7 linked regions of the Ovis aries genome follow. The protein of the gene in region 6 purifies or fractionates together with the protein of the main gene of each other region. This does not show direct contact. Links are inferred from orthologs where the notes say so. Each region holds a gene or a part of one and is shown on either strand. Other genes may lie near its edges.

Region 1 (3,794 bases), on a different chromosome or scaffold from region 6:
CGTGACCAGCCAGCGGGCCTCTCACCACATGGACAGGTGACCATGTCCCCCACTGGTCTCGTTCCTGAGAGAGACTCGCTGATGAGCTGGGCTGCGGGCTGCTGGTCACCCACCAAAACACCGAGCTTCCCTTCTCAGACACAAGCTTCCTGCCGAGAAGCCCCACGGCCCAGCTTCCCTGCAGCCAGGCAGAGACGAGTGACTCTGTTCTCGCAGACGAAACGGGAACCAAGTAGCAGCTGGAGCTTCTGCCCCGTGGCTTGCCCAGGGCACCACCCCCTTCTTTTAGCTTCCCCCAACTGGAACAGACACTTCTAACACCCAGTTTTTGAACATACAGCCAAAGACAACAAGAAGGCTTCAGGGTGACAGGATGGAGGGAGCCTGGGTCCCAAGTGACCACAGGAGGCAGAGGCCCCCCCAGCCCCGCCCTCTGGAGTCACTCGCTTCAACAGTGTGGGGATGGAAACAAGCCACACGTCCCAGTGGGCAAACAGCTCAGCGGAGTGATGGAACACGGCCTGGCGGCGAGAGAAGCAAGCAGCTGACACACACGAGGATGAGGCTCAAGGCATCCGCTTCAAGGCACAGAAGGATGATTCAACTTATGCCACACAGTCTTTGCCTTTGAGGGAATGGAAACTGATGTGAAATTTACCAAGGCCTGGAAGGGGAGGAGAGCACACCAAAAAAGGTACTGATGAGTGAACTGGGATCAAAATTGGGAAAGGAGTACGTCAAGACTGTATACTGTCACCCTGCTTATTTAACTCCTATGCAGAGTACATCATGCGAAATACCAGGCTGGGTGAAGCACAAACTGGAATCAAGATTGCCAGGAAAAATATAAATAACCTCAGATATGCAGATGACACTACCCTAATGGCAGAAAGTGAAGAGGAACTAAAGAGTCTCGTGATAAAGGTGAAAGGGGAGAGTGAAAAGCTGGTTTAAAACTCAATATTCAGAAAACTAAGATCATAGCATCACTTCACTTCATGGCAAATAGATGGGGAAAAGATGGAAACAGTGACAGACTTTATTTTCTTGGGCTCCAAAATCACTGCAGATGGTGACTGCAGCCACGAAATTAAAAGATGCTTGCTCCTTGGAAGAAAAGCTATGACCAACCTAGACAGCATATTAAAAAGCAGAGACATTCCTTTACCAGCAAAGGTCCATCTAGTCAAGGCTATGGTTTTTCCAGTGGGCAGGTATGGATGTGAAAGCTGGACCATAAAGAAGGATGAGTGCCAAAGAATTGATGCCTTTGAACTGCGGTGTTGGAGAAGACTCTTGAGAGTCCCTTGGACTGTAAGGAGATCCAACCGGTCCATCCTAAAGGAAATCAACTCTGACTATTCACTGGAAGGACTGATGCTCAAGCTGCCGTTTCATGCTGTCCATGGGGTTCTCAAGGCAGGAATGCTGAAGTGGTTTTCCATTCCCTTCTCCAGTGGGCCAAGTTTGTCAGAGCTCTCCACCATGGCCTGCCCGTCTCATCTGGCCCCACACGGCACGGCTCACTGAAACTGAGTTAGACAAGGCTGTGGGCCATGTGATCAGACTGGTTAGTTTTCTGTGATTGTGGTTTTCATTCTGTCTGCCCTCTGACAGATAAGGATAAGAGGCTTATGGAAGCTTCCTGATGGGAGAGACTCAGGAAAGAGGGGAAAGATTGAGGGCAGGAGGAGAAGGGGACGACAGAGGATGAGATGTTTGATGGCATCACCAACTCAATGGACATGGGTTTGAGTAAACTGCGAGTGGGTGATGGACAGGGAAGCCTGGCGTGCTGTCATCCACAGGGTCACAAACAGTGGGACACGACTGAGCAACTGAACTGAAATGACGCTGAAGCTCCAATACTTTGGCCACGTGATGTGAAGAGCTGACTCTTAAGAAAAGACCCTTATGCTGAGAAAGACTGAAGGCAGGAGAAGGGGGTGACAGAGGATGAGATGGTTGGATGGCATCACTGACTCAATGGACATGAGTTTGAGCAAACAAACTCTGGGAGATCGGGAAGGGCAGGGCAGCCTGGGGTGCTACAGTCCATGGGGTTGCAATGAGTCAGACATGACTGAGGGGGTGAACACCAGCAACTATGTGTGTGTGTGCGCCTGAGTGTACGTATATATCATACCTCAATTTGAAAAAGAAAGCACTATGAGAGCTTAAATGCTCTCTTCTTTGAGCCACAACATTAAAGTCTCACTTACGGCAGCTCACCTAGTTGAAGACCTTAAGTTATCAAGGAAATTAAAGAACACTGACCTCTCCCAATATGTTAGGAGGCAAACTCTCTTCTCCACGGCTCCTTTCCAAAGTGAAAATCTGCCGAAAGCCTTGAATGGGCTGCATTCCCCGGGTCTCCCAGCTCTACAGGCAGCAGCCCCTCTGTGGGCAGCCTCTTACCCTGGGCTCTGAGACAACTCCTGGGGGCGGCACCCAGAAACAGCTGACAAGCACTGAACTGAGCCACCTCGCGACTTACGGCTGTCACAGCAGAAAAGTGACCCACACAGATTCAAGCTGTAAAAGGACCTGCGTCTCTCTCCTCATGTGTGGACTAGGCTGCAAGAACACAGGTAACAAACGACACAGCTTTCTGAATCCGCTGCCTGATTCCCTTAAGCCCCGCGTGTGCTGCGCCAGAGGCCCCCAGCTAAAACCGGGGCAAAATTAATGGAACGAGCGAAACAGTGAAGGCCGAACACTGATCTCACCCACCGAATAAAAGTACATTCCTGCGCTGTCCGCTCCGGTCTAGCTCCTCCTCTGAGCTCCCTGTGGGGACAGAGGTAAAGTAAGAGAGAGAGAGAGAGAGAGAGAGAGAGAGAGAGAGAGAGTGTGTGTGTGTGTGTGTGTGTCTCTGTGTCTGTCTGTATGTCTGTGTGTGTGTCTCTGTGTCTGTGTGTGTCTGTGTGTGTCTGTGTGTCTGTGTGTGTCTGTGTGTGTGTCTCTGTGTCTGTGTGTGTCTGTGTTTGTGTGTCTGTGCGTCTGTGCATGTCTGTGTCTGTGTGTGTCTGTGCATGTGTCTGTGTGTCTGTGTCTGTGTGTGTCTCTGTGTCTGTGTGTGTGTCTGTGTGTTTGTGTGTCTGTGCATGTCTGTGTCTGTGTGTGTGTCTGTGTCTGTGTGTGTGTGTCTGTGCATGTCTGTGTGTGTCTGTGTGTCTGTGCATGTGTCTGTGTGTGTCTGTGTCTTGTCCGACTCTTTGCAACCCCATGGACTGTAGCCACCAAGTTCTTCTGTCCATGGGGTTTTCCAGACAAGAATACTGGAGCAGACAGCCATCTCCTGTCTCCAGGGGATCTTCCTGACCCGGGGATCAAACCTGCATCTCCCTCTCTTGCATTGCAGGCGGATTCTTTACCGCTGAGCCAGCGGGGAAGCCTGCCCTATTCCCCCGCAGCTCCTGCCCCAGGCCCTGCCCTGAGCCGGCACCTGCATCACTCTCTTTGGAAGTAACCGTTCCCACGGTTACCTCTCCAGGGATGACAGACTCACTGAGAGCAAGGGCCACATTGTGACTCCCACGGGCACTCAGCACAGCACCTACACTGGACGGGTGGTTCACAGAGAGCAAAGGAGCGGCGGCCCCAGGGACTCAGTCCACGGGGCTCTCCAGGCCAGGATACCGGAGTGGGCAGCCTTTCCCTCCTCCAGGGGGTCTTCCCCACCCAGGCACTGAACCCAGGCCTCCCGCACTGCAGGGGTTCTTCACCAGCTCAGCCACAGGGGAAGCCCAAAGAGTAGGTTAGATACACAGGGAAACAAATCAAAAGTCCTA
Region 2 (4,448 bases), on a different chromosome or scaffold from region 6:
TTGAGTCAGTTGTTGTTTAGTCACTAAGTCATGTCTGACTCTTTTGTGACCCCATGGACTGCAGCCTGCCAGGCTCCTCTGTCCATGGGATTTTCCAGGCAAGAATACTAGAGTGGGTTGCCATTTCCTTCTCCAAGGGGAACTTCCTGACTCAGGGATCAAACCTGCATCTTCTTGTTGGCAGGTAGATTCTTTACCTCTGTGCCACCTGGAAAGCCTGACATAGTACAGGGCTTAAACATCTCTGTGTTTTCACAAAGCTGAGTTTTTGTACTTCAAAGCTGGTAAGTAGACCTATGTAAGTGAGACCCCCATTCCATTGAAAATGATTGGCAGTTCTCTTCAGCATTTGCTCTAAAAGGAGTAATTTGGGGGTGGGAAGAGACTCCAAAAAAGTGTTTCTGAGGGTTCCAGAATGTCCTCTGCATTTGAGTTGGAATATTGGGCCCAATATTACTTAGCCCAAGGCATCTTCTCAAAAATGTTTCTGGGGAAGGGAATGATCCTGCAGGCCTAAAAATCTAAAATGAGACCTCCCAACATACCACCTCTGGGGGCATACTTTCTCTCTCTCTCCCAGAGGAAATGAGGTGCTTGGTGGAGGTTACAAGTGCAACCACCATTTCATTACACAAATTTTTTTTCATAATTTGTATTCTTTCCTACTTTTCAAAGGGCTTCCCAGGTGGCTCAGTGGGTAAAGAATCCGCCTGCAGTGCAAGAAACATGGGTTTGATCCCTAGGTCGGGAAGATCCCCTGGAGAGGGAAATGGCAACCCACTCCTGTATTATTCCCTGGACAGAGGTGCCTGGCAGGCTCCACAGGGTCGCTAAGAGTCGGAGGTGACTGAGCACGCATGATTTACACTACTTTCCAAATGAAGGTCAGATTAAGATAGCAAGAACCAACTTGCACCATCAACAAGCCCCAAACCCCAAAGAATGTTTTTTCTTTAAAGTTCTTCACTGCAACGACAGAGTCTACGTTTAAGACATGTGCTTCAGCAACATGCATGCGCTGATGCAATCTTTCTTTAGGATTCGAAAGAAAGGCAGGTGAATTTCTATTTGTACTTCCATTATTCGCCCTGGCTTGCTTCTGGTGTCGGATCAACATTCCAGAGCCCTTTCCGGACGGCCCTTAAGCCCATGGGGAAAAGTGATTAACTGAGGGTCACCAATGTCCCGGAGTATCAGTAATCTGGGGGTACAAAGGCGAGGTGGGAGAGACTCTAGTTTAATCCCCAACGACTTAAAAGGCTAACGATGAGTTTGTTTTTACACGAAGGAGCCAGTCCCGGGAACACCCACGCGGCTCGAAGAAGACCAAGCAAATCTGAAAACCGAAACCGGCCCAGGACACACAGATGACGTCCCCGGGGGTTCGCTCGACCTGCCGCTCGGCGACACAGGGATCCCGCGGATGCAAACCCCTCGCCCAGCTCAGGGAAGACTCCGCCAGGAGCCCCCGACCCGGGGAGCCGCGAATAGGGGGAAGAGGTGGCGGGGTGGAGGAGGGGCGGCCGGCGGAGGCCCCGCCCACGCCCCGCCCACGCCCCGCCCCGCCCCGATTATAGCTGATGACTCAGGGCGGAGCTCCGCATCCAACCCGCGTCGCCGCCAACTTCTCTGGATGGGACCAGAAGTTTCTAGCCGGCCAGTTGCTACCTCCCTTTATCTCCTCCTTCCCCTTTGGCAGCGAGGAGGCTATTTCCAGACACTTCCAGCCCTCTCCGGCCACGTCACCCCCTCCTTTAATTCATAAAGGTGCCCGGCGCCGGCTTCCCGGACACGTCGGCGGCGCTCCCGACTTTCCGCTCCGGCAGCGGCCAGCGAGCGACCCTACACCTGGAGGTCCGGCACCCCGCGACCCCGTGACCCGGCACCCCGCGACCAGGCACCCTGCAACCCAGCACCCCGGCGGCCGCCCCTCCGGGCCGACCCCGACCCAGCATGAGCGCAGCCACCCACTCGCCCATGGTGCAGATGGCGTCCGGCAACGGCGCCAGCGACCGCGACCCCCTGCCCCCCGGCTGGGAGATCAAGATCGACCCGCAGACCGGCTGGCCTTTCTTCGTGGACCACAACAACCGCACCACGACGTGGAACGACCCGCGCGTGCCCCCCGAGGGCCCCAAGGTGAGCAAGGCCCGCGCCGCACCCTTGCCAGTGGCTCCCCCTCCACCTTCCCCCCAGCCCCCCATCGACGGCCAGTCTAGGGACAGGGCCGGGCGGGGGCGGCTGGACTGGGCCCGGCTGCGGGGACGCAAGGCGCCAGGTGCCCGCCGGCCGCAGCCGGTGCCTCGGAGGTCAGTGAAGGCCGCCTGGAATGCACGGATCCCCAGAAGGACGCCAGCTCCCAGGGGGGTCGGCCTGCTGCGCCCCCCACGAGCCCACTCTCCAGGCCCGCCCTTGGCCGGCGTCTGGGCCAGTTTGGGGAGCTTCCCAAGAGGACTGCCCTCCCTTGGCCGTGTTTGGTTTCCGGGGGTCGGGCGGGAAGCGGGACCCGCGCGGTGGCACCAGGTCCCGTCCACCGGCTCCATTCGAGGGGCCCTGGGCCAGGAGACGACGGGTGGCCGGCCTGCTCAGCACCAAGGCCCGGGCCAGGCCCTGCCACGGTCTCCACCCGGCTTCCAGGGCTCAGATCCTCCTTTCTCTCTGCTGACCGTGCTTTGGCAGACGCCAGGGGACCGTTGGCAAGCTTCTGTGGGGGTCCTTTAGGGTCTCTTAGGAATTTTACATCCTCAAGTTCCTAAACTTGGTTGAGGGTATCTGGAGTTCACTCTCCCACCTCAGGCACAGAGTGACTCAGGAGACTGATGTAAATGCATTCCTTTTCTTTATTTTTTCCCTTCTGTATTTGAAATTAAAACTCTATTATTGTTTGAAAGTTGTCCTCACTAGGAATATATTCTAGTATGACTTGTTAAAAATAAGATGCAATCTTCCAGGCAATTTCTAAACTGAAGATGTGAGACTGTCTCCTAGTTGACTATTGCCTTAGATACTGCCTCACCCTGGTCAGAAAGAGATTAAAAAAAAAAAAAAATCAACACATTCCCTTTCTCGTTATGCTACTAAAATATTTAGGATTTTTTCTTATCCCCAATACACAAATAATTTAGTAGTAATACTTTTGTATTAGAAGTATGCCTCATTTACATATACGCAGGGGTGTATATACTACTTAATCCTTAGAACCATGAAAATTTGAAAATATAAACTTGGAATGAGTCTGTTAATTTAAAAAATTATAACTAATTGTACTGCTCTTGTAATTTTTATAACTTTGAGCTTTTTCAAAACGTAAAGCTTGGCAAAAAGAAATAGTCTGGGCAAAATAGAAGACATAAAGAGCTGGTAAGTTATTTTTAAGATTTAAAAATTCACAGAATTAAAAATGTTTTATAAACCATTGTTTTAGAAGAAAAAAATCTGTGTTAACCATCTTCAGTTTTATGCAGCTTTTTCCTTTAAAATATTTATGAAACTCTGGTGCCCAACAGTGAGATATTGTATAATCAGCAGCTTATGCTTATGAGAAATTAATTGTATATTTATTCCTGAAAATTATTTCAAGAGGCTGTAATTAGCTGGGATCGACATAACCATGTATTCCTTTCGCTTGTCTGTTCAGCCCATTATTGAGTGAAACTAAAGCTCATTTTAAACCAGCTCTGTTACTGCAGACTGCAAGGGTGTAGATCTTTACTGAGGCCAAAAAAAAAACCAACCTGTCTTTTTGAGGCTTCCTTCCTATAGAGACAGGAAGAGTCAGAATCCACTGGCGTCAGTGGTGGTGAGTGTAGGTCAAGTAGGAACGTATCCACTGTGAGTTCAGTGTACATGCCACATTGTTGGCGCTTGGTTTTCAACGTGAAACTCACCCAGCAGGTTGAGATCTTATGTATGATGGATGGTTAGGCTGTGGTTTTACAAACTTTTTCAAGGCAAGGGGGCGGGGGGAACAGGTTAAGTTACTGTTATTTTTCTCAACAAGTAGAACATAAGAGCTAGTAAATCAGAAGTTTGATGCCATAAAAGTTGATTTGAAAATTTAACAGAATTTTAAAGTTGAAAGATCGTTTAAGATCTTTTAGCTCAGCCTCTCTTTTTCTGAGAAAGAAACCCAGAGAGTTCACATGTGTTTCCAAAGGCCATTCAGCCAGGACCAATAGCAAAGAGAGACCTACACCGGAAAGTCCTATTTAAGAGGCAGTTTATTGTTCAGAGGAAGGTAGAAGAGTCTTAAATTTCTTAAATTTCTATGAAATTTAAGTGTGAACTGGGAAGGCTGGAGTACTTGATTGTTTTTCTGCCCTTCTGACTTTTGTGACTACTTGGATGGTGATGGCTGGATGTGATCAACTCAAAAAAAGAGCTGCTTACCAAATTAATTGAGATTTCTCAACGTGGCACTAGAACATAAGGAGAAAACTAACATTCAC
Region 3 (3,794 bases), on a different chromosome or scaffold from region 6:
CCTCGACGAAGCTCAAAGATCCTACGCGCCACACCTAAGACCCAGCTCAGCCAAATAAATAAATTAAATATTTTTAAAACAAAAAGATAATATGAGAATTAGATTCAAGGCAGCTGGAGTGGACACAGCAGCAAACTCAGAGTTGTCAACCCAGTTCTGACACACTGGCTGCAACACTGGAATTCCTGGTGCTGAGCTTCACCGGGCAGTGTCTGTTCTATCACACAGACACTGAGAAGGATGCGTGGCTTTCCACTGCTGGCCTGCCCCATAATGCTGGAGAGGCTGCACTTCTTAAATACAGATTTCTGGACCTCGCCTAGAGATTCTGATTGAGGAGGTCTGGGATAGGACCTGAAGGTGTATTTTGGGAAGCAGTAGGTTGAGAATTTCCAAGACTTCTTTGGGCTCAGGATAGGATTCTGACTTTGTCTCCTGGATGCCCCAGAAGCTCCTTACCTGAACCCTGGGATCATCTTGGCAAAGCCAATGACCTTTTGGATGCTGTAACTGACCAGGTCAGCCAGGTGGGGCAGCATGGAGAGCTGGGACAGGTCCAGGGTCACAGAAGGGTCATCGGAGTCTTCTTCACTCTGATGCTGGTTGGAAAAGCTGGTTGGCTCCGTTGTGTCTGGGGAAGAAAGAGGGAAGAAAAGGAATTACTTGAGCCAGCCTGCCTCCTGTGAGGCCCTCCTGTTCTCTGGCAGCAGTGCCAGTTGGGAATTCAGCAAGACTGCCTCTCTCCAAAGTCACTTCCACCCAGGCGTCCCCCTGGGGTTCCCCGCGTCTTTCTTCAACAGAGTAAAGAAGCAGGAAAATCAAAGAGCAGAGACATTCTGAGATATGAGACTTCTTTAAGAGTGATTTTGCATGTCATTCCTAATGATCAAGAGTCAAAGATGAATGTGGAACCAATAAACTTGTGGAAAACAGTGTTCGGCCTCACTAGTGATCAAAGAACAGCCAAGAAGAACATCCACTTTTCACCTCTAAACTAGAAGCAAATATGTTTAAAGGTTGACACCAGTATTTGTGAAGATGCAGGAGATTAGGCAATCCTTGTGCAGTGCTGGGGTGCTAAAGGAGGCACACAGCTATGCAGCTAATCTAGAGCGCAATTTGACCACGAGGGTCAAAAGCCTACAGTCACATACACTCTGTGACCAGTAATCCTATGTCCATGAATTCAGCATAAGGAAAAATTCAGAATGAGTGCAAATATTTAGCCACAAGCATGCTGTTATCTTCATCGAGAGCTGGGGGGAAAATCTAGATATCCAATGATAGGGGGTTTAGATGTGTTATTGTACATTATACCCCAGAAAACTATGCAGCTTCAAAAATGATATTCTAGGTATGTACTGAATGGCATGAAAATATGATATAATACAGGTGCTAGTGGTAAATGCAGGTACTCTGCCTAAGTACCCTGCCTGCCAATGCAGGAGACATAGAGAGATGTGGGTTCGATCCCTGGATCAGGAAGATCTCCTGGAGGAGGGCATGACAATCCACTCCAGTATTCTTGCCTGGAGAATCCCATGGACAAAAGAGCCTGGTGGGCTACCGTCCATGGGGTTGCAAAGAGTCGGACACGACTGAGCACGCACACACACACATACCAAACATACCATGGGGGTAGGTGAGCACCTCAGATTAATCAACCTGTAAGGGGAAATCAAAACTTCTAAATAACATAAGTGAAGTGAAAGTGAAGTCGCTCAGTCATGTCCGACTCTTTGCAACCCCATGGACTGTAGACTACCAGGCTCCTCCGTCCATGGGATTTTCCAGGCAAGAGTACTGGAGTGGGTTGCCATTTCCTTCTCCAGAGGATCTTCCCAACCCAGGGATTGAACCCGGGTCTCCCACATTGTAGGCAGAAGCTTTACCATCTGAGCCACCAGGGCTGTTATTAAAAGTCGAAGTACAAGATGAACCTATTTGCAAGGCAAGAACAGAGATGCAGACATAAAGAATGGTAATGGGGACAGAGAGCAGGTATGGAGAGGGCGGGAGGAACTGGGAGATTAGGATGAACACGTACACACTACCATGTGTAAACATAGCTAGTGGGAACCTGCTGGGTGGCACAGTGAGCTCATCTCAGTGCTCTGTGATGGCCTAAAGGGGTAGAATGGGCTTTGGTGGGAGAGAGGTCCCGGAGGGAGGGGATGTATGTACATGTATAGCTGACCCACTTTGCTCTACAGCAGAAACTGTATAGCATTGTGCAGTTGCTTTACAACACTGTAAAGCAATTATACTCCGAAAAAAGTTGAAGTACAAACCAATGTATAATATACAGATTGACCTTCATTGATAAAAATGATTATACCATAAAGTAAAAAGAGTAGGAAGGTGGATAGAGAAAATTAACACAGGAGAGGGGTTAACTACAAGGTGAGGGGCTCAGGGATCAGTTATCTGTGCAGGGGTCTCTGTAGACCCCTGTATCTGGGCACAGATCCATCAGTGAGTCTGGAAGCACCATGTCTGAGGGTTCCAGCTCCCCAGAGGGGAGGGAGCTTTTCCATCCCTGCCCTCCTATCCAGCAGAGGGCAGCTGGATTAGGTGGGAGGTAGAAGGATGAAGACAAGGATAGGGGAGGATGAGGCAGGAAGATGCAAAGGATGGTAGAGAAGCACAATAAGAAAGCAAGGATGAGTTGGAAGGGACAGGTCCTCCAGGACATTAGCGGAAGGCAGCTTGAGTGGAAAGGTGGGCTTCCATGTTGAATTTCACCTTCCACAGGCTCAGGCTCTGGTGACCCGTTAACAGCACTGTCAGCTATATTTAAAAGTTGCTAAGAGAGTACATCTTAAATGTTATCACAGGGAGGCGGGGGGAAACTCTTTGTAACTCTAGGAGGTTAACTAACTTATTGTGGCAATCATTTCCCAATATATACATCTATCAAATCATTATGTTATACACCTTAAATTTATACAGTGCTGTATGTCGATTGCATGTGTGCATGCTAAGTCGCTTCAGTTGTGTCCGATTCTTTGCAACTCCATGGACTGTAGCCCGCCAGGCTCCTCCTCTGTCCAAGGAGATCCTCCAGGCAAAAATACTGGATTGGGGTGCCATGCCCTCCTCCAGGGGATCTTGACCCAGGGATCGACCCCACATCCCTTGCATCTCCTGCATTTGCAGGTGGTTCTCTACCACTAGTGCCATCTTACATTTTTATAAAGTTGGAAAAAACAAAAACCAAACCAACAAACAACCCACCCGGCAGCAAGGGCTCAGGCTCAAAGGACCACTGAAAAGAATCAGGTAGGGAGCCCAGGGTAGAAGCCTGGCTTAGAGGAAAGAACAGAGGCTTTGCAGGCAACAGCTTGGCCTCTTCCTCAGAGTTCTCAGCACAGGCCCTTGGGCAAGTCACACCTCTTCTCTAAAAAGGGGTTGTTGTGGGCAGCACACAGTAGTGAGTGCTGTCCTTCTGGCTGCAGCCAAGGGCAGGTGGGCTGGGAAAGCTCTAGGTCCTTGGGGAGGGAGTGCGCTGTCCGCTTCACCTGGAGAGGAGGTATAGTGATCCGAACAGGAGGAGGACGAGTTTCCAGAGAAGCTGGGAGTGAGTATCGACCTCGAAGCATGGTTCCCCTCGTCCTCATCCTTGCGAACTGGAGGCTGGAAGGGAAAGGAGGAGTGTCAGAAGCCCACATTAGAGGTCATCTTCTTCCCCCAGCCCTGGTCTTTTGTTTATAGGAGGGGCAGTCCTCCCCAGGGTCAGAGGGCAGAGCAGCTTCCAGCCCTCCCCAGGTGCTGTGCCCAGATCCCCTCGCCCT
Region 4 (3,794 bases), on a different chromosome or scaffold from region 6:
TTCCTTCCTGCTTGAACTTGTCAAACTCTCTTTCACCCTCAAGTCTCTGCATGGACAACCTCCCTGCCAGCCGCTAGGCTGGCTCCTCCATGTCATGTGGTCTCAGCTCAAATGGCATCACTGCAGGGAGGGAGTCACCCCCTCCATCCTGTTTCCCTCCACTCCATTTCTTCATAGATCTGGCTGCTGTCTGAAATGCTCTTATTTCTTTGTCTGTTACCTGTTTCCCTATAAAATGTAAGCTTGTGAGGATGAGAATCTCGCCTCGTCTCATTCTCAGAATGGCACGTGGGAAGCCTGGAACCCGACCCCACTGTTCCTCAGAAGTGGCTTCTCACCTCTCCCTCCATGCTGCTGATCCGGACCAGCTCATTGAGAATCAGCAGGGCTCCATGGATCCGGTCATCCCGATTCATGCCCTTTTCCTTGGCCAAGGTCTCATCAAACCCTTTCTCTGCTTCTTCAAACGTGTGCTACAGAGAGATGCAGAATGCTTTCATTACACAACACCCAGAGTTAGAAAGCAGCCCGCCCATTTATGTGGTGGGTTCTGAGGTTACCATGCCTGCTCAGGGACTTGTGCCAGTATCACCAACAATATTAGCTCATTGAGCTCTTTCATCTAATTTAGCTTCAACTCTCACAATGCCACCATGAGGCAGATTAAAAACAGAAACTAAGTGACTTGCCCAAGGTCACAGAGCAGCCAAGACTAGAACCCAGGTATCCAGTCCCATGTTCAAGGCTCCTGGTATAGGACAAGCCTCAGTAGGTTCTCCTGGCAGCAGCAGTCAGCATGGGACTCACAACACTAGAGGAGAATTGGTGTTTTCTCAGTATTTACTGCATTTTGTTCCTCCAGACACACTCATTTTCCCCTACTTTCACATCTCTGAGAAGAGACACCTTATAATTGTTAAAAAGGCAGTGAGCGTAACTGGCACTGTAGTCTCACTCTTAGTGGTGCATAAAATAATGGCGTAGCTACGGCCAGATCTTTGCTTTCGTGAAAAACAACAAAATAACTACTAATTCACTGAGCTTAAAATGTCATGTAAGACCAAAGCAGACATGATGCTAGCTCTGTGGCCAGGGGTCTACTGCTGCTCTTTAAGCCCAGCGACACTCTAGGCTGCAGTGCTTTGCTGGAGGCTGGAATGGAGCCATCTCCTCACCCTGTACCACTGCGGCTTCTGCATCTCTTTTGGCTCCCGCTGGGTGGTGAGGATCAGACAGGCACGAAGGGCGGCGACAGCTCCCTCCCGGATGGCCTGTTTGGGGTCCCACACAGCCACAAAGATATTGTCAAAGAAGGGCTGCACTTGCTGGAAGAAGAAGGTGGGGACGCTGATGGCCAGCTCACGGAGCACCAGGACCTGGGAGGAAAAGCACACAGAGATCTTGCATCTGGATCAGAGAGCTCTGTTCTCTCATGAACACAGCCTCTTTTCATGCCAGAGCCAACACACACTAGGAAAATGGCACACTTGCCCACTCTTGTAGCTCAGAATTCCTGGGGACCTAAGAATGACAGTAAAACTGATCAAACATCTCCGTGTCCATTATCACAGGGTGTTTAGAAACAGAATGCTTGTACAGGAAAGTTAGGACACAAGTTCTGAAAGGGCAGCCGTGTTTGATGTTTCATATACTGCTCCACTAGAATAGATAGTAGATAGATAGATAAATAGCCTAGAATGTACCTGGACTACTTAAGCATTCAATAAACCTTTACTGAATGAATGTTCCTGTTTAATATTTAATCTTGTTACTTTTTTCATTTGACCATGGTAAAATGGAAGGTGGGCAGGGCGGTTTGCCCCAAGTTAGAGTTAGAGAGTGGCACCAGAGGCAGGCCCCTCACCCAGGCAGGCTCCTTTCTCATGGTGCTGCCTGCTAAAGAGGGAAGCGACTGGAAAGGATCCACCTAAAGCTTCTATTCCCACCACACTGGTTCATAGATTCTATCTCTTAAGGACAGACTCTCCCCCACCTCCCAACCTGGATTCTTAGCCCACCAAACCAGTCTTTTTCAGGATGAGCCCTGGAGAGCAAGGAGGATGTGCGTCTACAAGAGGGTAGAAGCCACCACTCCCTCAAATGCAGAACAGCCAAGGGGAAAGAGGAAGTCTGGACTGTGTACTGACCAATCAATAAATGACTAAAACATAAACAGGAAAGGCCTGGGAGAAGGCAGACCCACTCTCCCAGCAGGGGGAGCGAGTACCTCCCTTGCTCCTCTCTGCAGCCCAGAACTTCCTTATTCCACAGGCTATTGAGGGACCTTCACAGAGGGATGCTGCAGATAGTGCAGCTGTCTGAGGCTTTGTAAGCCTCGTGGCTTCTCTTCTTTCCTATGGCTGAACGGTGCCTTCTGGGGAAGAATTTTCGACTGGAAAATCAGAGGTCAGGGTAAGAACTGCACACAGGGCTGCCTCTCAAGCAATGAAAGAGAACGTTAATTTTCCTCCTCAGGAACGGAGCTCAGGGTGAGGAGAGAAAGGGATTTGGGGCAGAATTCAGGGCCACCAAGAAGCACAGTGCCTCTGCCTGGAGCCACCCCTCTCACTCTTTGCCTTCCAGGGCCCTGAGCACATCACATGAAGTACCCCGACACAAGGCACTGCTCCCCAGACACTCACAGCTGCATGTCTTCGGCCCTCGTTGCGGTCAGCACCCAGCCATTCCAGGGCTCGCTTCACCTCAAACTCCACATACTCAGCAGTGAAAGTGTCCCCTGCCATGGCGAGCCGACCGATGGCCTTGGATGCCATCTCCATGACAACTGGGTCGTTGGAGGGAAGGAGGTTCCGAAGGTAGTTAGCAAATCTTCCAATCCGAGTGGCATTCCCACCTTCAACTCCTATGAGGCTGGCTGGAAAAGACAGGAAGGCAAAAGGTGAGGAGGGGCACAGGCTGCCCAGGAAAGTAGGTGGCCTTCAGAGGGACACAGCCAGTGACCTCTTCCTTTTAAGTACCGACTGCAATCTCCAGACAGTAAGGATGCAAACAATTTTCATTTCAACCAACAGATATGGCATTTGTGCCAGAACTACTTACATAAAGCAAAATGACCTCATTTTAGTAAATACAATTTGTTTTCCCAAGAAGAAAAGGAAAACAAACTGGGACTGAATAATAGTTCACAGGATGGATGACTAGTTCCTGGGAGCTGAAAATTACCTGCCTTTCATTCAATGCATCCCAACTCTACTTTTCTATTTGTGAGTCCCGCTATGCCACACCGCGCTATGGAGAAAACAGAGCCTGGAATGAAAGCAGGCTTCTAGTCTCAGCCCTGGTGCACTGGCCCTAGAAAAGTTGCTTAATGGCTCTGAGATATGGTTCAGATATATGGATATCTGAAAATACCTGCTTTGACTATGTCTCAGGACTGCTGCTAGAATAGCTGAGTAAGTACACTGAAAGCCATGAAGCTCCTTAAAATTCCTTAAACAAATGTGAACTAAGTATCCAGTAGGAAGCAGACACAGGGTGCAGTGGACACAAAGGTGAGCAGTCCTTTATTTCCAGTTCTCACCTCACCAGAGACTCTGTCCTTACCTATGGCCAAAATGCCACCTTTCCTCTCATTGGCATCTGAGCTGGACACCAGTTCAAAGATGTGATGGTTCAACTGATCATAGAAGCGAGTAGACTCCTCTTGACTCATCTACAAAAGAAGATGTACTCAGCACAACTTCTAATGTCTCCCTGATGGTGGGATGGCTCCAAAAGGTTAGGACTTGAAAGGCAGCCGGCAGGTACAGTTCAAGCCAAAGGGGACACGGCTG
Region 5 (4,330 bases), on a different chromosome or scaffold from region 6:
TTTGTATCCTTTATCCAGAATTCACCCTAATTGTGCATGCACATGGTTATTTTTAGCCCCATACAGTTTCTTTGTATTTTGTTGCTGGAGGAGAAGTATGTCCATGTGTGAGCACTGCAGCGTAGGGTCCCAGGTCCCAGGTCTGTCTCAATCCTAGTCCATCTTTGACATGGACTCATCTGTAAGCCACCACTATACAAGGCTTCAGGACAATGCACACAAAGAGCAGTACTTGACCCTTCTTCAGAAGTGCAGAAGCCAAATCCCATCTCAGCAAACAGCATCACCATCTACTCAATGCCGTCAGTACCATTAGCTTTCACAAGCCAGGACTGACTTCCCCCACCACCACCCTACAGCATACCATCTGATCCTCTGCACCTCCTTCAATAAGCCTCTTGAGTATCCTTAAAATTTCTCAAAAGTGTCCACTTCTCACCATCACATTGCCATACCCCCTCTTCCACCTGGATCTCTCTACAAACATCTCCTAGGTCATGTTTCAGCTTCTTCTCTTGTTCTTCTTTATTCTCAACCATTCATCCAGTGCTCTTTAAAAAACCCAGCCATGGCATTCCACTGTTTAAATATCCTTCCCTGGATCCCCAACCTCCCTCCATACTCCACGCTTCAGTCTAATAGTGATTGGCCTGCAGTTCTTGGAATATTCTCAGCCTTGCCTGTGGCAGGATGTCCCAGAATACACCTGGATGGATCCTCCTGGATCAGTCTTCCCTCCACACCCACTTCCCCCTAATGATCACCCCGTCCAGGGATTTGGGGGCTCACTCCTGTTCCACCTCCTCCAGGAAGCACCTCCAGGTTAGGTGCTTGTCTGGGGTGCTCTCAAGCCCAACTCATCCCTTACCCCACTATATGGGAATTCTTCCTTATATGATTCCACCCCCAGACCATAACCTCCCTGAAACCCAAGACCCACTCTGATTATACAAAATGACTGACACACAAAAAATGCAGACTGAATGAATAAGTAAACAAACAAGAGCCCAGTATATCATAGATGTCAGAATCCACTCGGCTTTCTCCAGTCCTAGCTCTAGATCTGAGAAAGTTATCCAATCTCCCTTGACCCCAGATTTCTCTGCTTGTAAAATGGAGATCATAAAACCTGCATTGTCCAGTAGTTGTGATTTTTAAACTAAATAATATGGTATGTGGAACATTTTCAGGACCATGCCTGGTACATAACAAGTACTCAAATGCTGGATTTTGCTATTATTAATACAAAGTTCTTCGAGACTTAACAGAAAACATTCATCTTCTTGAAAGAGAAAAGATACTCCCAATACCCCATGATGACTCGGCTATTCCAGGCCTCCTCAGCACTCGTAGTTTACAATCATGTACTATTTTGCATTCTCAAATATATTGCTTTGAACAATTCTTGCATTTGCATACTGTCTTCAAGATGCCTAATACTTCAACAAACACCTTTAGGTGAAATGATATCAAATTTTCTCCACATTTTACTGCCCACTGGAGCCTTAAACTGTGGACATTCACATGGCACCTCCTAATTATGCCAGCTCCATATGAGAGGCCAGCATAACCCTTGGAGGAACACACAGAGAGAAACAGGAATGAGGCAGAAGGAACTGACAGGTGGCGATCCCAAAATAGAAATCAAGTTATAATGGGGTCAGAACAAACTGCAGTCTCAGGAAAGAGGGTGTCCTTTGCAATAACAGATGCAGAAAGGTAAATAATCACACCAGTGGTTAAAAAGCATTGTAGCATAACCTCTCTGTGGAATATTGTGCAGCCATTAAAAATAGGTATCGGCCAACTATTAAAATAGCAAATAACAACAGGTAAGAGATCATGTTCTGTAAAAAAGAAGATACAGACATACAGGCTTTTTGATCACCGAATGTAAAACTTGCTTAAAAGAAATTTTAAGGGAGTAGACTAAAATTTCAACGGTTGTGACAGTTCTTTTAACTGATCCCGCACACTTTGGTTGAGTTGTCATATTCCTTTAAAAAGGAAAAAAAAAAAAAAAACCTCTTATAAAATATGTATTCGTCGTGTCTCCCTCACAGATGTCTCCTGAAAAAGCTGAGATAGTGCAGAAGACACGCCCTAGACTGAAGGGGGCACCAGGAGTCAGGAAGCTGACTCAGCAGCCTTTGAATGTGGGCGAACCAGGGCCCGGGGGCGCCACCTTTCTTCACCGGCTACAGCCTTGCGAGGTCTCACTGAGTGCCCGCCAGCACGCCGCCCCCAGTGTGCCAGCCCGACACCCAGCCCCCAACTCTGCTGTTCCCAAGAGATCCTCTCCGTGAAGTTTATCTTTGATGGGAGGAAGGCGACGCGAGCTGCTGGAAACCCCGCACTCCGGCGCAGCTCCCTCGACCTCGCCCTCCCCGGGCCGCCCTGGCCTCGCTCTCCGCGCCCCGCGTACCTCTTGCAGGGGATCAGCGCTTTCCTCTCGTCCAGCACTCGCACGCGCTGGTTGAGCCCGTCGTAAGACAGCAGGGCGCGACTGTAGCGCCCGGTGCTCTGCCGGTACAGCACCTGGCGTCCCTCCCACTGCTGCGGCGCCTGGCAAGGGCGCTGAGCCCCAAGAGATCCCCCAGCCCCCGCCCCGGCCCCCGGCACCGCTGTCCCCCCGCCGCAGAGGCAGCCCAGCGCGCAGACCCAGAGGCCGCCCAGCAGCCAAGCGTCCAGGGACCCTCGGGCCACGCGGAGGGGAGCTAGCCCAGGCATCGCCTTCTGCCGCGGCCGCAGTCCCCAGAGAGCCAGCCCGCGCCCAAGGGGGCGCTGAGCAGCCCAGGCACTCGGCGGGGCTTTCTCCAACTGTGCCCGAGGGGGATCTTGGCCAAGTTGCTGCTGGTCACGGCGGGGGCCTTTCCAGCTGTTGGGATCAGGATGCGCAAGGCCTGGGAGACGGGATCGGCCACGGGAAAGCTTCCGTGAATCGTGTGAGAGCTGTTTCTGCCTGGGCCGCTGCCGGCGGCCGCTACTGTTTTCACTTGCTCTCTGCTGCCAACAGGAAATGCAGTGGCAGTGGTGCCACTAGCATCCTGAAGGGTATCCGCGTTTTAAAGGGGGTGGGGTGGTGGGGTGAAAAGGAAAGTGTTCTTCTGCTAAGTTGAGTATTCAGCAGATAACCAACACTGGAGGACAAACTCAAACACAAGATCAAGAAAGCTGGATCACTGCACTTGCTGTACCCCACATAACCCTGTCCCTTTATCAAACTGTTTTTGTTGCTGTTCAGTCACCACCTCGTGTCCAACTCTTTGCGACCCTATGGATTGCAGCACATCAGGCTTCCCTGTCCTTCATTGGAGTTTGCTCAAATATATGTCCATTGAGTCAGTGATGCCATCCAACCATCTCAACCTCTGTAGCCCCCTTCTCCTCTTGCCCTCAATCTTTCCCAGACAGGGTCTTTTCTAAAAATTCGGCTCTTCATATCAGGTGCCCAAAGTATTGGAGCTTCAGCTTCACAGCATCAATCCTTCCAATGAATATTTAGGGTTGATTTCCTTTAGGATTGACTGGTTTGATCTCCTTGCAGTCTGAGGGACTCTTAAGAGTCTTCTCCAACACCACAGTTCAAAAGCATCAATTTGTCAGTCCTCAGCTGTCTTTCTGGTCTCTCATATCTCACAAACACGACTACTGGAAAAACCATAGCTTTGACTATATGGACCTTTGTTGGCAAAGTGATGTCTCTGCCTTTAAATATGCTAATAGGTTTGTCATAGCTTCTCTTGCAAGGAGCAAGCATCTTTTAATTACGTGGCTGCAGACACTGTCCGCAGAGATTTTGGAGCCCAAGAAAACAAAATCTGTCACTATTTCCACTTTTTCCTCATCTATTTGCCATGAAGTGATGGGATCAGATGCCAAACAACGATCTTAGTTTTTTGAATGTTGAGTTTTAAGCCAGCTTTTTTTACTCTCCTCTTTCACCTTCATCGAGGGGCTCTTTTGTTACCCATCTGCATATCTGAGGTTGTTGATATTGCTTCTAGCAATCTTGACTCCAGCTTGTGATTCTTCCAGTCCACCATTTCACATGATGTACTGTCAGTTCAGTTCACTTCAGTCGCTCAGTCATGTCCGACTCTTCGCGATCCCATGAATCTCAGCACGCCAGGCCTCCCTGTCCATCACCAACTCCCGGAGTTCACTTAGACTCATGTCCATCGAGTCTGTGATGCCATCCAGCCATCTCATCCTCTGTCGTCCCCTTCTCCTCCTGCCCCCAATCCCTCCCAGAATCAAAGTCTTTTCCAATGAGTCAACTCTTCACATGAGGTGGCCAAACTACTGGAGTTTCAGCTTTAGCATCATT
Region 6 (3,794 bases):
CACACTTGATCATTTTAGTTGGGTACAGAATTCGAGGCTGAAAATCCGTTTTAGATGAGACTTTTGAAGTCAGTGTCTTCTAGCTCTTAATGTGCTCCTTAAGTTCCCAAGCTTTTACAGCAGCCTTCAGAGTTTCAGGAGTCTCTCTTTGTCCCAAGGGTTCTGACAGGACAATTTTAAGCTCTGGTGTGGGGTCTTTTTCAGGCCTTGTCCAAGGCATCTGGGGCCCTTTTTAATCCAGAGGTTAATGGTCCTAGTGCCGAGAGACTGTCTTGTATTTGTTCATCTCCTCCCTTCAGTTTACTCTGTTCTCTCTGGAATTCTTTCATCCTATGTTGGGCCTCCAGGATTAATCCTCAAATTATCCCACCTTGGTTACTTTCCTCCATCCATTTTCCATCTTCCAAAGTTTGATGAGATTGTTTTATCTTGTCCTCCATTATTTTTTTCCCTTTTTCTTTATCCATGTTGCTTTATTTTGTTTAACCCCTTCACTATTATTTTAGTAGAGTATGAGGAGCAAGCAGAGAAAATAAAAGCAGGCTTAGCAACTGGTACCCCATCTGCAATATTTACATTGTTTTTCTTCTTCCATTTCCCCTGCAGTTTTCATTGTGAAACATTCAAATAATCAGAAAAGACAGAAGAACAGTACAATGGATACCCATATACTTTCTAAAATGGGTGAATGATGCGACTCTTCTGTAATGAATTTTCGAGATTACTGAATTAGAGTTTTTCCAACTTGATGATAATCTGAGACTTCAGGGCTTAGAAGACTGTACCACAGTCTCTGCCCTGCTATCCCCAAAGCCTCTATGTAGGGGTTGTGGAAGACTCCACGGCCCTGCTGTTTTACATCCTAGGAGTCAGTGGCTGTGACCTCCAGCCAGGTACAGCCCTGGGCTCATGCTCTTGCTCAGCTGGCTCTCACAGCACTTATCAAAAAAAGGTCTCAGTCGCTGACTCACTGTACAGACTGCCCTCTGAGAGGTATTAGTGGTTATATCCCTCCTGGGCCCCTGCTGTTGGAACTAATGTTCCCTTCTAAGCAGTTAGTAGACTGAGTTATCCTGTTAGTTCCTCAAAAGAAAGGAAAATACCTGTAACTCCAAAGACAGAGTTTAATCCATCCCTCGAATGGCTCTCTTGAATAGCTACTCAAACACACATTCCACTGAAACTTGTTTTGTAGGGTTCCAGACTCCTCCCAAGTTAGCAGAAAGCACTCCCGCCACTCTGAAAGACCTGAGAGCCTTAATTCTTACTGCCGAAGACCTCAGAACACTTCTAAAATTATTCCCTTGTGTCCTGAGTGGAGAATCCAGGTCCAGTTCTGAAACACTTCACAAGCTCAGATGGGTCTCAGGATGGAAAGCAAGTGTGACAGTCTCCTGGGAAGCCTTCAGAACACATCGACCCTCATGCCCTACCCAAAATCCACTTAACCAATCAAGGGACCTGGAACTCCTCACTGTTTTACAGTCTCCTGCCTGAATGTAGATGTGGTTTTGTGACTTCCCAAGTTATCTTGTTCATTCTTTCAAAAGAAAACTTTTCTCTTCAGGATAATCAGTTTTAAGAGTTTCCATACACCAAAATATATACCCTCCCATAAAAAAACAAAAACAAAAAATAAAAATCAACCTTTCATTGGTGATTCTGATGTTCAGTGCACTTGAGAACCACTGTCCATTTACTATCTTCCGAAGAAAAATTTTCCATGGCCTCTAAGTAACAACCCATTAGTTGGGATTACTTAAAATCCTACTATGTCTTCACTATGTCTTAAGTGAGTGGCAGAGTTTAGGAATAACCTATCTCCCAATTATTTCATCTCTACTCCACTGTTACCCTCCTTAGAAAGCATTAAATATACTAATTATTTTTCCTCACTTGCTCAAAAGTCTTTAACTCCAATGCAGAAATTGTGTGAGATCTATTTCATGTAGCAGTGATGCCAAGATGTCACTGCTACTTCAAAGCTGCTTCAATGTGAGCAGAAATGGTCTCAGGTTGGAAGCAATGGCAGTCATGCTCTGTGAGCCACAGGGCGGGTGGTGGGTGAGCTTGGACACCCTCCTACAGCATTCTTTCAGACACTGGACACCACTTTTGGACAGACCAGGTAACACTTCCTGCCACTGCAGTCACAAAGATGGCATCATGGATCCATCATAAGTCACCTTCATCAGCTGATTCTTATGGCCACAACACAGCAAGTGCTGTTTGAAGTTTTATTTTTAGCCTTGGGCCAAGTCACTCTATGAAGGTGCACAGCTCACCCACCCAGACACCCACCCTGGGCCTGCACCCTGGGAATCCAGCAGCAGACACGAGAACCTTCCTCCCTCACTCCTTTCCCTCTGACAGTGGCACAAGCCCAGTTCTTAGGAAGCACCAGGAAAGGTTGGGGGTTGCAGAAAAGGGAAGAAAAGCAATATGGCATCTCAGCTAACTACTCACTGAAGTCCTCAAAGAAACCCCAAGGCTCAAGTAAGGAGAAATACAGAGTGGTCTTCCAAAGGAAGAAGATGAAGGGCAGCCTTAAACTGAGCCTGGTTACCCTCCCTAGTGGGATTACCCAACCAAATGCTGGCTGATTCTTGGCTGATTCCACTTCACTCTGTGTGGAAAGCTAAAGAATTTGTCAGGGAGTTCAACCTCAAGCGGCCTGTGGTGCAGCACTTGGTCAAGACTGATTGATATGAGGCCAGCGAATCCTTACTGGTCTCAAAGACACATCAGCTGCCCCTCCTCTGCAGTATCCCAGCTGAAAGCCACAGAACAGCCGCCTGTACACTGGTTACCAAACGCTCTGCTGATGTCAAAGGAGGGGCACTTACCCAGAGGGCTGAGGGCAGCCGCCACACTCTCCCCTACATTCTTGAGGAAATTCACACTGGGATCTTCTGATGGACCAGAGGCTTTGGTTTCAAAAAACAAAAGATACTTTTAATTCAAAGCATCTCTCTCAATGACTGAAACCTGTCACAGTCCTGTCTGTCCCAGAAGCCCTACTCCCGGGGCCTGTTCCCAGCAGCCTATACCCTATTGCTTCCCTCTCTCCCCCTCTCTAGGCCACCTCCTAGGCCCCTTTGTCTTTCACACCACTCCCCCTTCATCTACCTTCCTGGTGCCTAGAAACTCTGTACACAGAGTATAATGTATTATTTACCCCTCCCCCGGAAAAAGCATTATTTACTCAAACAAATACCCTCATCTTTGTCACTAAGGACAAGGTGAGTCAAAGGACATAGTAATACTAATAAAATCAGAATAAAACTAGAATCTAAAAGTTCAGAATGCAAGCTATGTGTAAATTTTTAACTTGGGAACTGTTTTACAAGACTTGAGCAAACCTGGCTGTGACTTTCCTAACAATTAGCATGAACAAGAAGAGAGCCGACTGGAGACGCAGGCGCTGGAGGGGCCTCCCACCTGCATGGGAGGGCCACCGGGGCAGGTGCATTAGTGGCCTTGAGCACCGAGGCACTAGTTTTCCCAGATGTACAATGGAGATGATGCTTGCACTTTGCAGGATTTTATGAGGATTAAATGCACAAACGGCCACAAAGTGCCTAGGCCAGCCACAGGCATGCAGGATTTTAGGGCACAGGGAAAGCCCTCCAGCTCTGCAGGCCCTCACATCTCATCCTTCAGAGGCCAGCAGATACAACCCTCACCTGATTCCGTGGCAGGGCCAGGGTGGGCCTCCCCTGCCTGAGGAGGACGTGGGCTCCAGTTCCCCGGTGGGCCCATCTCCCAGCCAGGCCACCCAAAGTGCCCATGTT
Region 7 (4,233 bases), about 37 Mb from region 6:
CCAAGACACAGAAACAGCATAAGTGTTCATAATCAGAAGAAAGAATAAAGACAACTAAAGCATCCATCAGTAAATGAATGAATAAGAAGGTGTGATATATATATATACATACATATATATTTAGAATGTTGGAATATATGTATATATATTGGAATATATGTTGGACTATATATATTCTATATATATGGAATATTTTATATATTCATATGACTATTTCATATGTATATTAGCATATACATATATGAAAAATTTCACAGTGGAATGTTATTCAGCCATGATAGATAAGGAAATCCTACCATTTGCAACAACATGAATGGATTTTGATGACAAAATGAAATAAATGAGAGGAAAGATGAATATCAAATGAAATCACTCATGTAGGATCTAAAATAGTCAAACTCATTGAAACAGAGTAAAATGACAGTTTCCAGGGGCTGGGGAGAGACAGGAAGAGGGAAATGTTAGTCAGAGAGTGGGCGGTTTCTATTATGCAAGATGGATAAGTCCTGGAGATCTGCTCTACAGCACAGAGCCTGTAGCTAATAATACTAAATTATGTGCTTAATATTTGTTTATGGTAGATCTTATATTGTGTTCTCACCACACACACAAAGTCAATTTTCCCCATATAATAGGGTGGGGAGAAACTTTGGGAGGTGATAAACATGCGTATAGCCTTGATGGTGGTGATGGTTTCACAGGTATATACTTACCTCAATTAAGTGGTGAAGAAAAGTAACAGTCAGTGGTTACTGTATTGTCTACTGACCTCCTCTATGTGACAGCTTGGAAATGAATGGGATCTGCAGTTTGATAGCCAGGTTATGCTTTCGATTGTCTGTTTATGCTGCTATGGTATTCTCCATCACAGACCCCTCTGTGTCATCAAAACACTCACATGGCTGCTGTCAGAGTCAGAGGGAACATTCATTGAGCAGCAGTTGAATTTCCTCCCCTTTTCTACCCCAGTGGCCATTGAGGGGAGGCCAGGTATCTCTGGCTGCAAGCAGGCTCAGCTTTGAGAGCTTCAGTTTGGAAAATCCAGTGATGTGAGTAACCGTTAGTCTCTGCTTTTGCCTGTGATGCAAGCCTGTTTGTTCCAAACTGAGACCACATCCTTCCTGCTGGGTTGTGACTGCTATAAATTCGTTTAGTTTCTCCTCTGGCTGTTCCCGAGGCTGACGTTTGGGTGAGTCCAGCTCTGGAGCGGGGTGGCTGAAATAGCCTGGGGAAGAGTGGGGAGATTGTTTCAAGGGGCAGAATTTGACTAGAGGTTCCTTCTGCCAGCCTTCAAGTCTATCCTTCAACAATGTTTCTGGAATGTTTCTTTTATGTTTATCAATATTTGGTCGCTATGTGTGCCAGTGCATGTGTGTGGGGAGTGGGGGTCAGGGACAGTGACCATGGCTCACACTCACTCCCCTAGAAAGTGGATAGATGGGATGCATATAAAGAAATGAGCATGTTTAGAAACCAAGGGACAGAGAATGTAAAGGTCAGGATGGGGGTGCGCTAAGGTTAGGGATAGGGTAGCACAGAGGAGAGGCAGAGTCCTGATGTGGATGGAAAGATTGATGCAGTGGTACCTGAGAGGGTTGGCAAAGCTGGTCGATCTGTCTGGAGTAGCCCCTTTCCTCCTGCCCCCTGCCAAATGCATAGGGGATTGACTTGACAGGGGACGGCAGGGGGTGGGTGATGCATGATGCAAGGAGTAGAGAGGCAGGAATGGAGACAGGAGTGTTGAACATGTTTAAAATGTCTTGAACATTAAACTGGGTTTTTATGAATTCCAGTTTGGAGAGTTCAAAAGCTTCATAAGCTTTCCCTGGTGGCTCAGATGGCAAAGAGTCTGCCTGCAATGCAGGAGTCCTGGGCTTATAGGGCTTCTCCCTTCCTATGATCCTTTTCTAAATCCAATAATATGAAGAGATCAATTCCAAACAAAGCCAATGTGCTCATCCATCCAAAATCTAGAAATTGTGTATGATCAAGAGATATAGCAGCTGATTTCAAGTCTTTGTGGAACTTGAAGTCTAGTTAGGAAACCAAGACATTGAACATTACAGTGTGATTGAACACTACTCTGTGTGATAAAACCTGGGAAAGTGCTTTTGTTTTTTAACAATCTGATTTTTGGTTTTCCCTGGTGGCTCAGACGGTTAAGAATCTGCCTGCAATGCAGGATGGGTTTGATCCCTGGATCAGGAAGATCCCCTGGAGAAGGAAATTGCAAACCACTCCAGTATTCTTGCCTGGAGAATTATAAAAGAGCCTGGTGGGCTACAGTCCATGGGGTCACAAAGAGTCGGACACAACTGAGCAACTAACGTTTTCACTTTCATCTATATTTTGTTATCATCTTCAACCATTTTTTCCTCCTATTTGACTGAGATACCTACTTAAATGGTGGAAGAAATGTTCTCACACTTTTAGTGCCGAGAAAAATGCAATGTTAGGGGCATGACACAGAAATCAGTGACCCTAATGTAAATCCTGGCTGTGAAAGTCTGGGCAAGTCACTTAGACTAAGACTCAGTTTCTACTTCCATACCACGGAACTAGGAATATAATTTTTCAGTTTTGTGCATCAGTATAGCACCTAACTCATGAGAAGCTCTCAATAAATGTGAGTTCTAATAATTTTTATAATTGTGAATTTTGCAAGGAGACATTAAAGAAATGTATATATTTATCATTCTTCCTTATCACCCCAAGTTCCATCTCATTTCAGTTTTAATCAATCAATGTGTTGATAAAGGGTTTGTTGCAGATTATGCCTTCCTCTGCATGCTTCTATGTTCTCTTTCCTTCTCTCTAGACATATGCTGTTCTGTTATCACCATAATTACTCATTCCTGGCATCCTTTCTTCTCTTGTCCCTCATTCATCTTTCCTTGGTTCAAAACAGAAACAAGAAACCAGAGTCTTTCAGGTGGAAGGAAGGTAAAAAAATCTTTTCCACTCTGCCATTTTATAGATGAGGAACCTGAAGTTGAAAAATAGTGGAGAGATTGCCCAGGGTCATACATAGCCAGTAATCAGTGGGATCAAAGTGCTCTTGGTGATACATCAAGATAGCATCAGGAAGCAGTTTAAGATTACATTGCACTGTTAATGTGATTGTGTTGGTGGTTTTATTTCTCTCCATAGGAGCACCTTTCTTCCATGGCTCAGGACACACACCTGGGTCGAGCCAATAGGAAAACTTTCTGGTAAGAATTTGACTCACTTTTAAAAGCTAAAGATGGCAACTTGTTAGAATCCAGTGATATTTTTTTCCTTTCAATTTTCTGGGTTTTTGATACTTTAGTTCTCTCTGAGGGTAAATTTCTGAAAAGACATCTTAACCATATGCTGTTTGTACCACCTAAATTCCAAGTGTGGATTTATGCCCAAGGACTCTGACCAGGTCTGCAGATGATCATGGCAAGTGTCCGCTGCAAGCTGGCTCGTTACCTGGAGGACCTGGAAGACATAGACTTTAAGAAATTCAAGATGCATTTAGAAGACTATCCCAGTCAGAAGGGCTGCACCTCAATTCCTCGGGGTCAGACAGAAAAAGCAGATCACGTGGATATAGCCACCCTGATGATTGATTTCAATGGGGAAGAGAAGGCATGGGCCATGGCCAAGTGGATTTTTGCTGCAATCAACAGGAGAGACCTTTATGAGAAAGCTAAGAGGGATGAGCCAGAATGGGGTGAGTGGAATGAAGATAGTACTTTTTAAAAATCATGATAAAATATACATAAGATAAAATTTACAATCAGAAGTTTTAGTGTATGATGCAGTGCTGGTAAGCTCATTCACACAGTTGTTCAATCAATCTCCAGAACTCTTTTTCATCTTGCAAAACTCTGTACCCAAGAAACAATCTACCCTCCTCTCAGCCCCTGACAACCACTTTCTGTCTCTATGAATTTGACTATTCTAGTACCTTTTATAAGTGAAATCATAGAATATTTGTCTTTTTGTGTGGCAGCATAAACTTCCTCAAGCTTCATGCACATTGTCTCATATGGCAGGATTTCATTCTTGTTTAAGGTGGAATAATATTTTGTGGTATGTGTATACCACAGTTTGTTCATTCATTCATTCATCCATCAATGGACTTTCTAATTGCTTTAGCTTTTGACCATTGTGAATAATGCTTCTATGAACATGGTTGTACAAATCTCTTTGAGATCTTGCTTTCAATTCTTTTGGGTTTATTTCCAGAAGTGGAATTACTGG

Evidence for each region.
Region 1: the proteins of SQSTM1 (region 6) and HTT purify together in Homo sapiens (affinity purification with western blotting; 4 studies listed by BioGRID and IntAct, with this or other methods). This does not show direct contact. The link is inferred for Ovis aries from reciprocal best matches to the Homo sapiens genes SQSTM1 and HTT.
Region 2: the proteins of SQSTM1 (region 6) and BAG3 purify together in Homo sapiens (affinity purification with western blotting; 3 studies listed by BioGRID and IntAct, with this or other methods). This does not show direct contact. The link is inferred for Ovis aries from reciprocal best matches to the Homo sapiens genes SQSTM1 and BAG3.
Region 3: the proteins of SQSTM1 (region 6) and VDR purify together in Homo sapiens (affinity purification with western blotting; 3 studies listed by BioGRID and IntAct, with this or other methods). This does not show direct contact. The link is inferred for Ovis aries from reciprocal best matches to the Homo sapiens genes SQSTM1 and VDR.
Region 4: the proteins of SQSTM1 (region 6) and MTOR purify together in Homo sapiens (affinity purification with western blotting; 4 studies listed by BioGRID, with this or other methods). This does not show direct contact. The link is inferred for Ovis aries from reciprocal best matches to the Homo sapiens genes SQSTM1 and MTOR.
Region 5: the proteins of SQSTM1 (region 6) and EPDR1 purify together in Homo sapiens (affinity purification with mass spectrometry; 3 studies listed by BioGRID and IntAct, with this or other methods). This does not show direct contact. The link is inferred for Ovis aries from reciprocal best matches to the Homo sapiens genes SQSTM1 and EPDR1.
Region 7: the proteins of SQSTM1 (region 6) and NLRP3 purify together in Homo sapiens (affinity purification with western blotting; 3 studies listed by BioGRID). This does not show direct contact. The link is inferred for Ovis aries from reciprocal best matches to the Homo sapiens genes SQSTM1 and NLRP3.

The regions. Positions count from the first base shown.
Region 1 is NC_056059.1:116,433,143-116,436,936, forward strand, and holds part of HTT (huntingtin), read right to left. Parts: 5' UTR 3,261-3,794; coding exon 2,734-3,260; intron 231-2,733; exon of another isoform or gene 26-230; intron 1-25.
Region 2 is NC_056075.1:39,287,453-39,291,900, forward strand, and holds the start of BAG3 (BAG family molecular chaperone regulator 3), read left to right. Parts: upstream 1-1,600; 5' UTR 1,601-1,953; coding exon 1,954-2,139; intron 2,140-4,448. UniProt on the Homo sapiens protein: Co-chaperone and adapter protein that connects different classes of molecular chaperones including heat shock proteins 70 (HSP70s), e.g. HSPA1A/HSP70 or HSPA8/HSC70, and small heat shock proteins (sHSPs), e.g. HSPB8.
Region 3 is NC_056056.1:138,726,420-138,730,213, reverse strand, and holds part of VDR (vitamin D3 receptor), read right to left. Parts: intron 3,637-3,794; coding exon 3,522-3,636; intron 632-3,521; coding exon 460-631; intron 1-459.
Region 4 is NC_056065.1:41,657,814-41,661,607, reverse strand, and holds part of MTOR (serine/threonine-protein kinase mTOR), read right to left. Parts: intron 3,674-3,794; coding exon 3,565-3,673; intron 2,876-3,564; coding exon 2,643-2,875; intron 1,377-2,642; coding exon 1,176-1,376; intron 474-1,175; coding exon 339-473; intron 1-338. UniProt on the Homo sapiens protein: Serine/threonine protein kinase which is a central regulator of cellular metabolism, growth and survival in response to hormones, growth factors, nutrients, energy and stress signals.
Region 5 is NC_056057.1:51,240,734-51,245,063, reverse strand, and holds the start of EPDR1 (mammalian ependymin-related protein 1), read right to left. Parts: upstream 2,961-4,330; 5' UTR 2,731-2,960; coding exon 2,426-2,730; intron 1-2,425. UniProt on the Homo sapiens protein: Binds anionic lipids and gangliosides at acidic pH.
Region 6 is NC_056058.1:1,199,408-1,203,201, forward strand, and holds part of SQSTM1 (sequestosome-1), read right to left. Parts: coding exon 3,687-3,794; intron 2,928-3,686; coding exon 2,847-2,927; intron 1-2,846. UniProt on the Homo sapiens protein: Molecular adapter required for selective macroautophagy (aggrephagy) by acting as a bridge between polyubiquitinated proteins and autophagosomes.
Region 7 is NC_056058.1:38,410,833-38,415,065, forward strand, and holds the start of NLRP3 (NACHT, LRR and PYD domains-containing protein 3), read left to right. Parts: upstream 1-1,152; 5' UTR 1,153-1,189; intron 1,190-3,150; 5' UTR 3,151-3,212; exon of another isoform or gene 3,213-3,379; 5' UTR 3,380-3,417; coding exon 3,418-3,700; intron 3,701-4,233. UniProt on the Homo sapiens protein: Sensor component of the NLRP3 inflammasome, which mediates inflammasome activation in response to defects in membrane integrity, leading to secretion of inflammatory cytokines IL1B and IL18 and pyroptosis.